Linked DNA regions of Cricetulus griseus. The main gene of each other region encodes a partner of the protein of the gene in region 2 in a complex. Links are inferred from orthologs where the notes say so. Each region holds a gene or a part of one and is shown on either strand. Other genes may lie near its edges.

Region 1 (5,654 bases), on a different chromosome or scaffold from region 2:
GGGATTAAAGACATGCACCACCAACGCCCGGCTGTAAAATAATATTTATTGGGTTCATATTTGTGCCCTAAAAATTGAAGTTGATTCTCTTCTTCAACATGTGGATTCTGGGCTCAAACCAAGGTTAGCAGTCTTGGTGACAAGTTCTTTTACCTGATAAGCCATCTCATTAGCTCAGAATTTCCCTCCTTTGAAAAAAAAAAAGACAAGGAGGGTGGGGGTGGGGGGCAGTTTGTGAAAGATCTGTCAGTAAACTGCTTATTGAGCAAACCTGAGGACCTGAGTTTGCTCTCCAGAACTTACATGAAAAAAATATGAGGTTGCCAGGCGTTGGTGGCGCACACAATTAATCCCAGCACTCCAGCAGGCAAAGGCAGGTAGATCTCTGTGAGTTTGAGGCCAGCATGATCTCCAGGGTGAGTGCCAGGATAGGCTCCAAAGCTACACAGAGAAACCCTGTCTCAAAAAACCAAAAAAAAAAAAAAAAAAAAAAAAAAAAATGAGGTAGCAGTGTTAGTGATCCCAGCACTGAGGGGTTCTTGGACCTTGCTGGCTAGCCATTAGCCTACTACTTTCAGGCCAATGAAAGGTCTTACTTCAACAAGGTGGGTGGCTTTTGAGGGACTACACCTAAGGTTAACTAGACTCCACATATACTGGTACCAACATGCATGTCTGAGTGCAGACACACACATAAACATTATAAACATGCAGTCTCTCCCCTTAAACTCACAACCTCCCTCCAGGGTATCCTGTTCTTATTTCCACACCTCACATTCCTCTGTGTGTGAGCATGCATGTGCTCGAGAGGGCACTCACTGTATGGGTGTAATGAGTGCAGATGTAGGTGTCTGTGACTGTGAAGATCAGGAAGGATGCTGAATGTATTCCTTTTGCTCTCAGATTTATTGTCTTGACACAATGTCTCCCACTAAACCAGAAGCTAGCTAGACTGGCTAGCCAGCAAGCTCTCAGGATCCACCTGTTTCTGTTGTCCAAGATGCTGGTATTATAGGCACATGCACCCATACCTAGCTTTTAAGTGAGTGCCTGAGATTTGAACTCAGGTCCTCATCTTTGAAGAGCAAGCATGCTTACATACTGTGCCACCTTCCCAGACCCTACTCTGCCTCCTTAACCTATAAAACAAAATCATGATCTGTCTGTGCATGCATTAGACTACAGTTATCAAAGTTCTCTATGTGAAATCATTTCTTCTGTGACCTCTCAATAGCATGTGATGCTTCTATGCTCCTATGAAACCACCATATTGGTTCTTCTCTTAGTTATTCCTTCTTCAGTCTCCACTCAAACCTCACCCTATGCTAGCTTTACTCGCTACAACTCTCACTATTACATAACAACAACTATTCATATTTCCAGTCCCAACCTTTCTCCTGAACTTCAGAATAACATGTCCAAGAAGCTACTTGATGTCTTTCTGTATTACATGTAGGGAAAACCCCTTAAACCCACTATGTTCTTTCCCAATCCTCTCCATGTTGAGACATTACAACACCATGAACCCCGATTCTTTAAAAGCAAAAACCCTTTGAATTATTTACTTTTCACTAGTTTATTTTGTTTTGTTTTTTGTTTTTCTGAGACAGGGTTTCTCTGTGTAGCTTTGGAGCCTATCCTGGCACTCCCTCTGAAGACAAGGCTGTCCTTGAACTCACAGAGATCCGCCTGCCTCTGCCTCCCGAGTGCTGGGATTAAAGGCGAGCGCCACCAACACCTACTTTTCACTAGTTTAGATGTGTGCTAGAGACTGAACGTAGGGCTTTGTTCATCAGAGGCAAAGCTCTCTCCCACTAACCTATATACTCACTTTTTATTTTCAGATTTATTTATCTGTATTGCTGTTGTCTGAATGTTATGGGCACAATATGCCTGCCTGATGCCCATGGAGGTCAGTCAGATCCACTGGATGGTCATGCATGCCTTTAATCACAGCACTCAAGAGGCAGAGGCAGGAGGGGCTGAGTTCTAGGCCAGCACGGTCTACAGAATGAGTTTCAGGGTAGCCAGGGTTACAGAGAGAAACCCTGTCTAGAAAAACAAGCAAACAAAAAACCCCACCTTTTTGAGACATACTTTGCCCACAATTCCTTCTGTAACCTAGGCAAGCCTGAAGCAACAATCTTCCTGCCTTGATCTCCCAAGTAGCTAGGATTAGAGGTCACACACCAAGGCCAGTTTCATTTTTTGAGAAACATTAACTTAAGGCCAAATGCTTTGCAGGCATTAGGATAAAACCTAGGATTAAACTCTGAAATAAGACAGACTTGAAACTTATAATTAGGTTGTGGCCAAAACAAAATAACTATGCTGAGAATGAATATACTGAGATACTGAATAATGACTGAAGGGCAATTCCAAATCCTGAAACAGAACCTCGAGCAAAAGCATACAGGTATAACGAAAATACTTAATTGCCACCTAAGATGAATTGCATCTTAGATGTCATGTAAGCAGAATTGCTCCTGCTCTCAGGCTACGGAAACAACACATAAAAAAAATAAGAGTGTGAGACGCTACAAACTATATTAACAAGACTACTTTTCATTTCCCTCGGGACTCAGAGCCAGGAAACCAGGTCCTTGATTCTCCTGCTGCCAGGGCAACGGACCTAAACTGAGAAGGAGACAGCGTGTTTCTCGACCTAGGGATGAACTCGAAACCTCACGTCAGTCACCAGCCACAGCTAGGACTTCAAAGACTCCTTCTAGCTCTACTGAGATGAGATCAGAACCGACACTCCAAGGAGCGGATCCGAAAAGAAAGCTGCCTTTCCCCTGAAGCCCCTTCTGAGCCCTCGGCATCACCGATGGGCCAGGCCGAACTCTGTCCTGTTTCCGGGAAAGGGTCTGTTTGGTGGCCTCCTTCACCCAGCAAGTGGGGAGACCTGGTACTTGGCACCTCCGGGGACGCTGTGAAAACCCTGCGGGCTGAAAACCCGACATACCCGGAAGGAAAGAAGTGGGAGAGCAAGGAGAGGAGCCCAAGAAAGAAGGGTAAGCGTGAAGGCATAGGAAGCTCCCAGAGAAGCAAATAAAGAGACTACAGGGCAACAATCTCCAAGCCGGCTCTTACCGTCCGTGGGAGACGCCATCTTCCAGCCCATGTCACGTGACGTGGCCAACCGTCGGCGGGAAAGCGAGGACCCACAAGCCACGCCCCTGGAGAAATAACCTATCCTCAACTCGCGACCCGGTCTTGCTGCCCTAGCCCATAGGGTAACATTTGCCTAGTCCCACCCCAGAAGGCAGCCCCGCCCGGGGCGCCGTAGTTAAGGTGGAACGCAGGCAAAATTCTCCACGGGCCTTATTTACTTTCCTTAGCGAGGGGGCGAGGCCTCGAGGCTGCCTACCTGTAGCCAATCGGAGCTCCCGGTTAGGGGGCGTCTTCCCCAGCTCCGCTTGGTGCTTAATATGCAGGACCGAGTCGGGGTGGGGGCGTCTCCCGCTCTCCGCCAACAAAAATCGGCTGGGGTGAGAGTGGGCGAGAACGCTTCCTCTTCTGACCAATCACATAGTCCCAAGACTGGGAGGGACGGGTGGGAGTCAAGAGTTCTGACAAGCGATTGGTTACGAGACGTGGCCCTCTCCTCCAATGGCAAGGCCCGGCCGTGTGGAAGGCGTGGCCTAGCGGTGTGACTTCTTGGGAGGCTCTGGCAGCCTTGGCTCGTGAACCAGGCAGAAGTGCTGCGCTATGGCGGCGGTGGCGGCGGCGGCGGCGGCGGCGGCAGTGCGGACCCGGATCCTGCAGGCGAGTGAGGGTGGCGACGAGGGACCATGATGTTAGGAATGGGTCCTTACCGCCCCGTCTCTAAACCATGCTCCTGCCGGACAGACTTACTGTCCCAGCCCCTCTGCCGACCCTCTTCCACCAGCCCCGAGTGTCCGGCTGTCACTCTGTACTGTCTCTGGCCCTGCATCCAGCCCCAGACTGTCACGCCTGGCTCTCCCTCCTTTTGCTCCTGAGCCTTTCCTTTTCTGGCTCTGACCCACCCACCTCCAGTTCGGCTCAGTGCCCACTGTCACTCTTTGGCTTGCTTTCTCTCTCTGGTTCCTCCCACGGTCTCTCACCTCTGCACCAGCCACCTCTGTTCCCCAGAAACTCCCCCCTTTTGGTCACCTTTCTCAGAGTAATTTATTTTAGGGGTGTCCCTTCCCCCACCCAACCTCTGTACATAATCTGAGGTAAGGGGAGGAGGGAGGGGAGCTCACTAGGGTCGTGCTACTAGGGTCGTGCAACTAGGGTCGTGCGAAGGAACTCTGAATCGCCTAGAAATGTACCCTAGGTTTCCACATCAAAGGCAGCCATTTGCTAGCTGTTTTCCCAAACTATGATGGCTCCTAGTGTTTTTCACAAGCTCTGGGCCAAGTTAAACTTTCTCAACAAAGTTAACGTTTGGAGGTAAATAAGGGCACGTTATGCTAATACTGATTCATTCAAAGGACTAAATATTTCCCAAACAGGTGGTAGAAAATGAGAGCCTAGGAAGACATGTTCCCAAAGTCAGCTCCTCAAATGCAAACACACTCCCACTCTGCCAGACTGGGACTGGAACCCCAAAGAAGACTGCCTAAGGGCAGTTGTAGAGCTATGGAAGCTTCAAGCCTATGATCCCCAGCTTTGTTGATACCCTTTTGTGAGCTTTCACCTTAGCAAGGATCTAGAGCATGAGGCAAGATACTGTTACTGTCAAGATTCATAATCCGCCGGGCAGTGGTGGCACACGCCTTTAATCCCAGCACTTGGGAGGCAGAGGCAGGTGGATCTCTGTGAGTTCGAGACCAGCCTGGTCTACAAGAGCTAGTTCCAGGACAGCCTCCAAAGCCACAGGGAAACCCTGTCTCGAAAAACCAAAAAAAAAAAAAAAAGATTCATAATCCTGCATTAAGCAACATTGTCTCCTTCTTACTCATCCAGCCTGGGGATGCCCTCTATACTGTTGCACATACATAAAATTTTATTTCTGTTCATCAGGTTTCTATGAGTTCTGCAGCAAAATGTGCATTTGTTAGATTATTGGTGGAGTCGACAAAGGTTCAGGTTTGGATATGCTGTTTAATGGGACAGTGTGAGGAATGAGTTGGCCTTAGAGGGTTGGCATGACTTTACTCCCCTAGTTCTATTCTGGTATCTTTTTCTAGTAACAGGGACAATGTTTCCAGTCTACATAGTTCCATTACCAACCCCTTAAAATCCTTTCTGGAAATTGCCCCCAACCCCCAATCATGTTACTCCTATCAGCATGAATCACTGAGAACCTTAAGATATTTTGTCCTTTGCACAAAGGAGCAAAAACTCTCTTCCCATGCCTGTTATTTTTGAAACAGATATATATACCAGTTTGAAGAAACCTCTGGACTGACTTGGAAAAAGACCAGAAATAGTTCTTAGACAATTAGGAATTACTGTAGCATGACACTTTGATAAAGGCTAGTCTAAGTGGGCATGGTGGCCCAGCAGAAACTGATGCAGGAAAATCTCCCACTTCAAAACCAGCCTGGGAAGGGAACCAGCCAGAGAGCAAGAGGGGAAGTGAGGAGGTCAATTGAAGAAGAAAATGAAAAGCAACACAGTACAATAGCATGCCTGAAAATGCTTTAATGAAACCTATTAGTTTGTAAATGGTTACTAAA
Region 2 (5,573 bases):
CTCTATGAGCTAGAGGCCAGCCTGGTCTACATAGTGAGACCCTGTCTCAAAGCAAACAAAAACCCCAACTTCTTTGGGAAGAGTGATCTCTGAAAATGTGTGCCTTTTGAAGAGTGATGAACCATACACACACACAGAAGCCTACCTCTGCTTCCGTCCTCTTTGCTGGCGAGGTTGTTCTTCTTGGGGATATTTAAAAATGTCTTGAAAAATGGGTTCATATTTCTTAAAAATCACAGCAGAAACAGTGAAGTTTCTTTCTAATCTTTCAGTACGTTCTCTGAATTGTGGGGGTAGATTTGCCATGTCTTCCCACTTCTTCATCTTGTTAAAAAATTCAATTAAGCTGATATTAAAAATAAAAATGAGGTACTTTAATAACATAAAGGTGATTTTATGCCAATACAATTAACAGTAAATCAAAATCATTTCATCAAATTATATTCTGACAATGACATAAAATCAAAGCCATGCCTTTGATTAACTTTATCTCCTACCATTTGTCTTCTTACTCCAACCCTCCTAATCTACTTTGTTCAGATTATGATAGTTTTGATTTCTTAGTGTGTATACATGTTCATGTAGGTGGTGTGTGGAAATGCACAGGAAACCAGAAATTGATGGTAAGTGCCTTCCTCAATCATGGTCCACTTATCACTTACATTTTTCTGCTGGGTGTGGCAGGAACTCTAACCCTTGGCATCATCTCACCAGCCCCAGCTCAGATCCTTTAAATACTAAAACTATGGAGATGGAGAGACGGTTCAGCAGCTAAGCGTATTTGCTTTTCTTGTAGAGGGCCTCGGCTCAGTGCCCAGCACCTACAAGGTGGCTTATGACCATCTTTTATTACAGTGCCAGGAGATCTGATGTCCTCTTCTGACCTCCGTAGCCACTAAACATGCACACTTGTGCTTGTACATACATACAGGAAAAATACTCATACACATAAAATAAAATTCATCTTAAAACTTTTTAAAAAATAAGACACTAAAATGAATATAGAAACAGCCAAAATTTCAATTTATACATCTCCTAATATCATTTTCTACTTCCCACCAATATAACCCACATTCTGAAGTTAATTTTTTGTACATATATTCATAAAAATAACTATCTTGTTTTCTTTTACATTTTAAGTAAAATGCATCGTAAGTAGCATTCTGCAACTTAATTTTCATTTAATGTTTCTGAGATTCATTAATATTAATACATGGAAATATCTAACTCATGTATTTAATGATGGAAACCATTCCTTCCTATGAACACATATATCTCTGCATTCACTCAATCACAAGAAATTCAGGTTATTTCTAATTTTCTTTTTAAAAAAATGGTGGAGGAGCCGGGCAGTGGTGGCTCACACCTTTAATCCCAGCACTCGGGAGGCAGAGGCAGGTGGATCTCTGTGAGTTCGAGACCAGCCTGATCTACAAGAGGTAGTTCCAGGACAGCCTCCAAAGCCACAGACAACCCCTGTCTCGGAAAAAAAAAAATTGTGGAGGACTGCTGAGGTGTGAGTGGTTAATAGCACTTGTTGCTCTTGCAGAGAACCCAGGTGTGTTCCAGCACCCATATGGTGACTCACAAACACCTGTAACTCCAGTTCCAGGGGATCCTTGCTTTCTTCTGGCCTTCACAGACACCAGGAACACATGTGGTATACACAGATACATGCAGACACTCATATATGTATAAAAATCATGAATTATTAAATGGTGCAATAAACATATTAGTATGTGTGTAGGAGTTTCTTTTTTCTCTTCTTTTTCTTTGTTTCTTTCTGTGTGTGTGTGTGTGTGTGTGTGTGTGTGTGTGTGTGTGTGTGTATGGGTTTCTTTAGGGCCAGAGACTCTGCAGCTTCAAGTCTACACATTTCATGGACATTAAAACACAAGTGTCTAAACATAAAGCCACATAATTGACATTTTATTTACCTTTTTGATCCATAGTATCTTCAAAAGCTCCTCAATATCTTTATTTAAATTTATATTAATAATATACAATGAGGCATAACCTTTAATTCATTAAAATGCAAATATACTCAAGTTAGTAAAATATGATCCTGACTCTGAAATGGTAAAGGAAAACCCTCAGTTTCTAAATTCAGCAATCCACATGTTAGATGCTCAGAAAATAGTAAACGAAGAGAATTTTCATTACCTGTATGATTTGTAAGATTTTCATTTTAGCTACATTCTACTTTGCAAGCTCGAATATAGTTACCTCTGCTCCGAACATCGAAGGATTCTTGTTAAAGACACATAGTTTCCTTCAACAGTCCCTTTGCTTACAGTTGGGACCGATTTTCTGCAAGCCACATATAAGGCACATGCTAACCAATGAAGATCATTTCCCTGAAAAAAGAAAGCAGTGCTTAAAAACTTGTCCAGAGTCACTCAGATCCTTAAGGTCTGATGCCGCCGTATTTCTTTTCTGTGCTATAACAATGGAGAGGGGGGAATTCGATGTGTGAACAGATTAAAAGATATATATCAAAATACACCAACTCAGCAGAACGACACAGACATAACCACCATATTATAGTTAAATAACACCTTGCTTAGCCTTCAGATCGTGGACCTGTTCATAAAAGGGCCGTTCGCACAGGCAGCTGATAAACAATCCGTACTTCCGTGTCACTTCCTATTGGCCCATGCAGGGGAGGTGCCTGTAGAGTTGACAGGCACTGGCCCGAATGGCCATTTTTGTCAACCTCAAGCCCCGTCCCAAGAACGGAACATAACAAACCTATAGTTGGATGACAGCCAAAAAGAGTGTCAGAGCTCAACAACAAATGTTGTGTGTCTACACCGGTTTTCAACTGCCGGGGGTGGGAGGTGAGTAGGGAATAACAAATCTTAAACCGTTGTCACACGTAAGCAAGCCCAAAACTTAACTCCTCTCCGCTGACGGCTGCAAAGCCAGGGCGGAGGCAATGGTGCAATGCAACCAACCAAGCGACCCCAGAGCCACACCGAGTCCCCCGACCTCCCCGGATGGTCTGCGCGCGCACCTCCAGCGTGTAGCTCTCGCTCATGCTGCGGTAGCTGCCCCAGGCCTCGGCTCTCGCCGCCTCGTCCATGTTGAGGCGGCTACACAGCTCCTCGAACCGCTGCTCGATCTGAGGGCCCGGGGACTCCGCGGGCTGCGCGCCGTCCGTGGCGTCGCCATCCTCCTCCTCCTCCTCCTCCGAGCTGGCTGCTGCCGGAGGAGGAGGCGGTGGCGACTGGTTGCCTTCAGATGGCATGGCGCTCCCCGAGGCCGCGGCTCTTCAGATGAGCTGAGGGCCCGGGCCGGCAGCCATTCAAACCGCAAAGCGCCCGCCGGTCAGCAGCTTGTACCACGACTGTGCCGCCCCCAGAGGCCTTTGGCCCCATGCGGGCACCCGTCCTTCTGAGCACAGCCTGCTGGGAAATGTAGTCTCGGCTGGGAACTCAGGGGGACCAAAAGTCGAGGAACAAGAAAGAGCAAAGCTAGCTCTGAGTCATTTAGGGGCAAGCGAACGCGCCCTCCCGTTTTAAGTATCTCTCAACAATCAGACCATTCAGAAGGCTCCTTTGAAGAGAAAAGGACCACAAGAAATGCCGACAGGAGAAGCTCAAGTATCCAAACACTTCGCTCCTCACCTAGAGGTCCTCAGATGATAGTAAAGATGAAAGGTCCAAAGTAAAGATGATAGCTCCGCTGCTTTTTCTCGTTCTTTCTCTGTTACTGAGATAAACACTGACTGAAACCAACCCGAGGAGGAAAGGGCTTATTTCATTACTGAGGGAGGCAAAAGCAGGACTCTGTTTACTGGCTAGCTCAGACAGCCCCCACCTGCCAATGGATGGCGAACAGCCAGTTCAACAGAGAGGATGCTTCAAGTTAAACTCCTGTGTCAACACTAACTATGGCAAAGGTATTTGGCCTAAGAGTCGATCTCACTAATCAAAAGCCAAAACACTATCAACCAACAAGTAATCACGAGTGTGTTTTCAAAAATAATTTAAAAATTGTATTAGACATCACACTTACTGAATTGATATCTTGATGATACCCCTAATTTCCAGGCCTTTCACTGGTAATGTGTGAGTCAGGTCTGGCAACAAGAAATGCAACTAAATATGGCGGCAGTGCAGACTGAGCATTCTCAGAACCTGGGTTTGGGGAAGCTGATCCTTTGACATCTACAACGGAAAGGCATTTTGGGACCGGTCACAATGAAACACAGTTATCCAGGCCACTGACTAACGTCAAGACTGGAGACTCCATTGTGCCTTTTAGGAGAGGAATACACTCAAGGGGCTCAGCAGCTATACGTGTGTGATGAGGGGTGTTAAAGCAGCTTAATCTCCGAGCTTAAACATGAGAGAAAGGATGTGCTGATTTTTCTTATCCAGAGAATTTGCTCTTGGAAAAGAAATTGTTAAGGCACACTGCATGGGCTTGAAGGTGGAGAAGAGAATCTAGTAGAAATAAGCACATTGGCTGGGAAGATCCTCAGTGGGCTGAAACACTCACCTGAATTCAATGCTTACAACTCATGTTTAAAGGAGGCAGGGAACTAAAAAGCCAGGAGTGGTGGGTTGGCTTCTAGTCTCAGCAGTGGGGAGACATAAGCAGGTAGAGTCCTGGGGCTTGCTGGCCAGTGAGAGACACACACAATCTGAAAAAGAGAGAGGGACCAGAAGAACAACACTTGTGGTTGTTCTCTAGCCTCCAGACCTATGTGCATCCACAAGCACATGTACCTCTACACACGTGTGCACGAACTTGAACATGCACACAAATGCACTCAAACATGTGCACACTTGGGGCTGGAGAGATGGCTCAGAGGTTAAGAGCACTGACTGTTCTTCCAGAAGTCCTGAGTTCAATTCCCAGCAACCACATAGTGGCTTACAACCATCCCTTATAAGATCTGGTGCCCTCTTCTGGTGTGCAAATATACATGGAAGCAGAATGTTGTATACATAATTAATAAATAAAAGAAAAAAGAAACATGTGCACACTTGCACACACAATACTTACCAAAAGGATACTTACTTCTACATAAGTACAAGGACATTGGATTTAAGACATCATCCATTAGGCATTTCAACAAACTTGTGGACTGGAGCACTAGCTGCTCTTCCCCCTGAGTTCAAATCAAGTAACCACATCAGGCTCACAAACAGGAGCCTCTTCTGGCATCTATGGCACCTGCACTTATGTACACATACCCCCCCACACACAAAATACATATACATAATTTAAAAATAAGTGAATAAATTAAAACCAATTCTTATTTGTGATGTTTCTCTGTAAGGGGAGCTTGGTTCATTCTAAGGTGGCCTGATTTGTTATGTCTATATATCTGAGTGTCAGCCTGAAGTAAACTAAAGTCAGATCAGGAGAGTAATGGGGCTCTTCCCCTTTCCATGCCCCCTCTCTGTCATAATTAGCTATCCTGCCTCAAGTCTTTCAAATAATCACTGGGTCTTACAGTTTTGTATTAACATATATTAATTACACGTAATGAGCGTGTCACTTCCGTACTGAAGGGACCAGCTCCCCATTTCGGCAGCCATAACAGCCGGACACGTGCT

The links. The genes of interacting proteins can lie anywhere in the genome.
Region 1: Rbl2 (region 2) and Lin52 share a complex: the UniProt entries of both Homo sapiens proteins name them as parts of the DREAM complex. The link is inferred for Cricetulus griseus from reciprocal best matches to the Homo sapiens genes RBL2 and LIN52.

The regions. Positions count from the first base shown.
Region 1 is NC_048598.1:119,314,186-119,319,839, forward strand, and holds the start of Lin52 (protein lin-52 homolog), read right to left. Parts: upstream 3,334-5,654; 5' UTR 3,128-3,333; coding exon 3,097-3,127; intron 1-3,096. Other genes in the region: Aldh6a1 (methylmalonate-semialdehyde dehydrogenase [acylating], mitochondrial), read left to right, coding at 3,715-3,771.
Region 2 is NC_048596.1:166,738,498-166,744,070, reverse strand, and holds the start of Rbl2 (retinoblastoma-like protein 2), read right to left. Parts: upstream 3,251-5,573; coding exon 3,017-3,250; intron 2,640-3,016; exon of another isoform or gene 2,559-2,639; intron 2,358-2,558; coding exon 2,227-2,357; intron 347-2,226; coding exon 146-346; intron 1-145. UniProt on the Homo sapiens protein: Key regulator of entry into cell division. Directly involved in heterochromatin formation by maintaining overall chromatin structure and, in particular, that of constitutive heterochromatin by stabilizing histone methylation.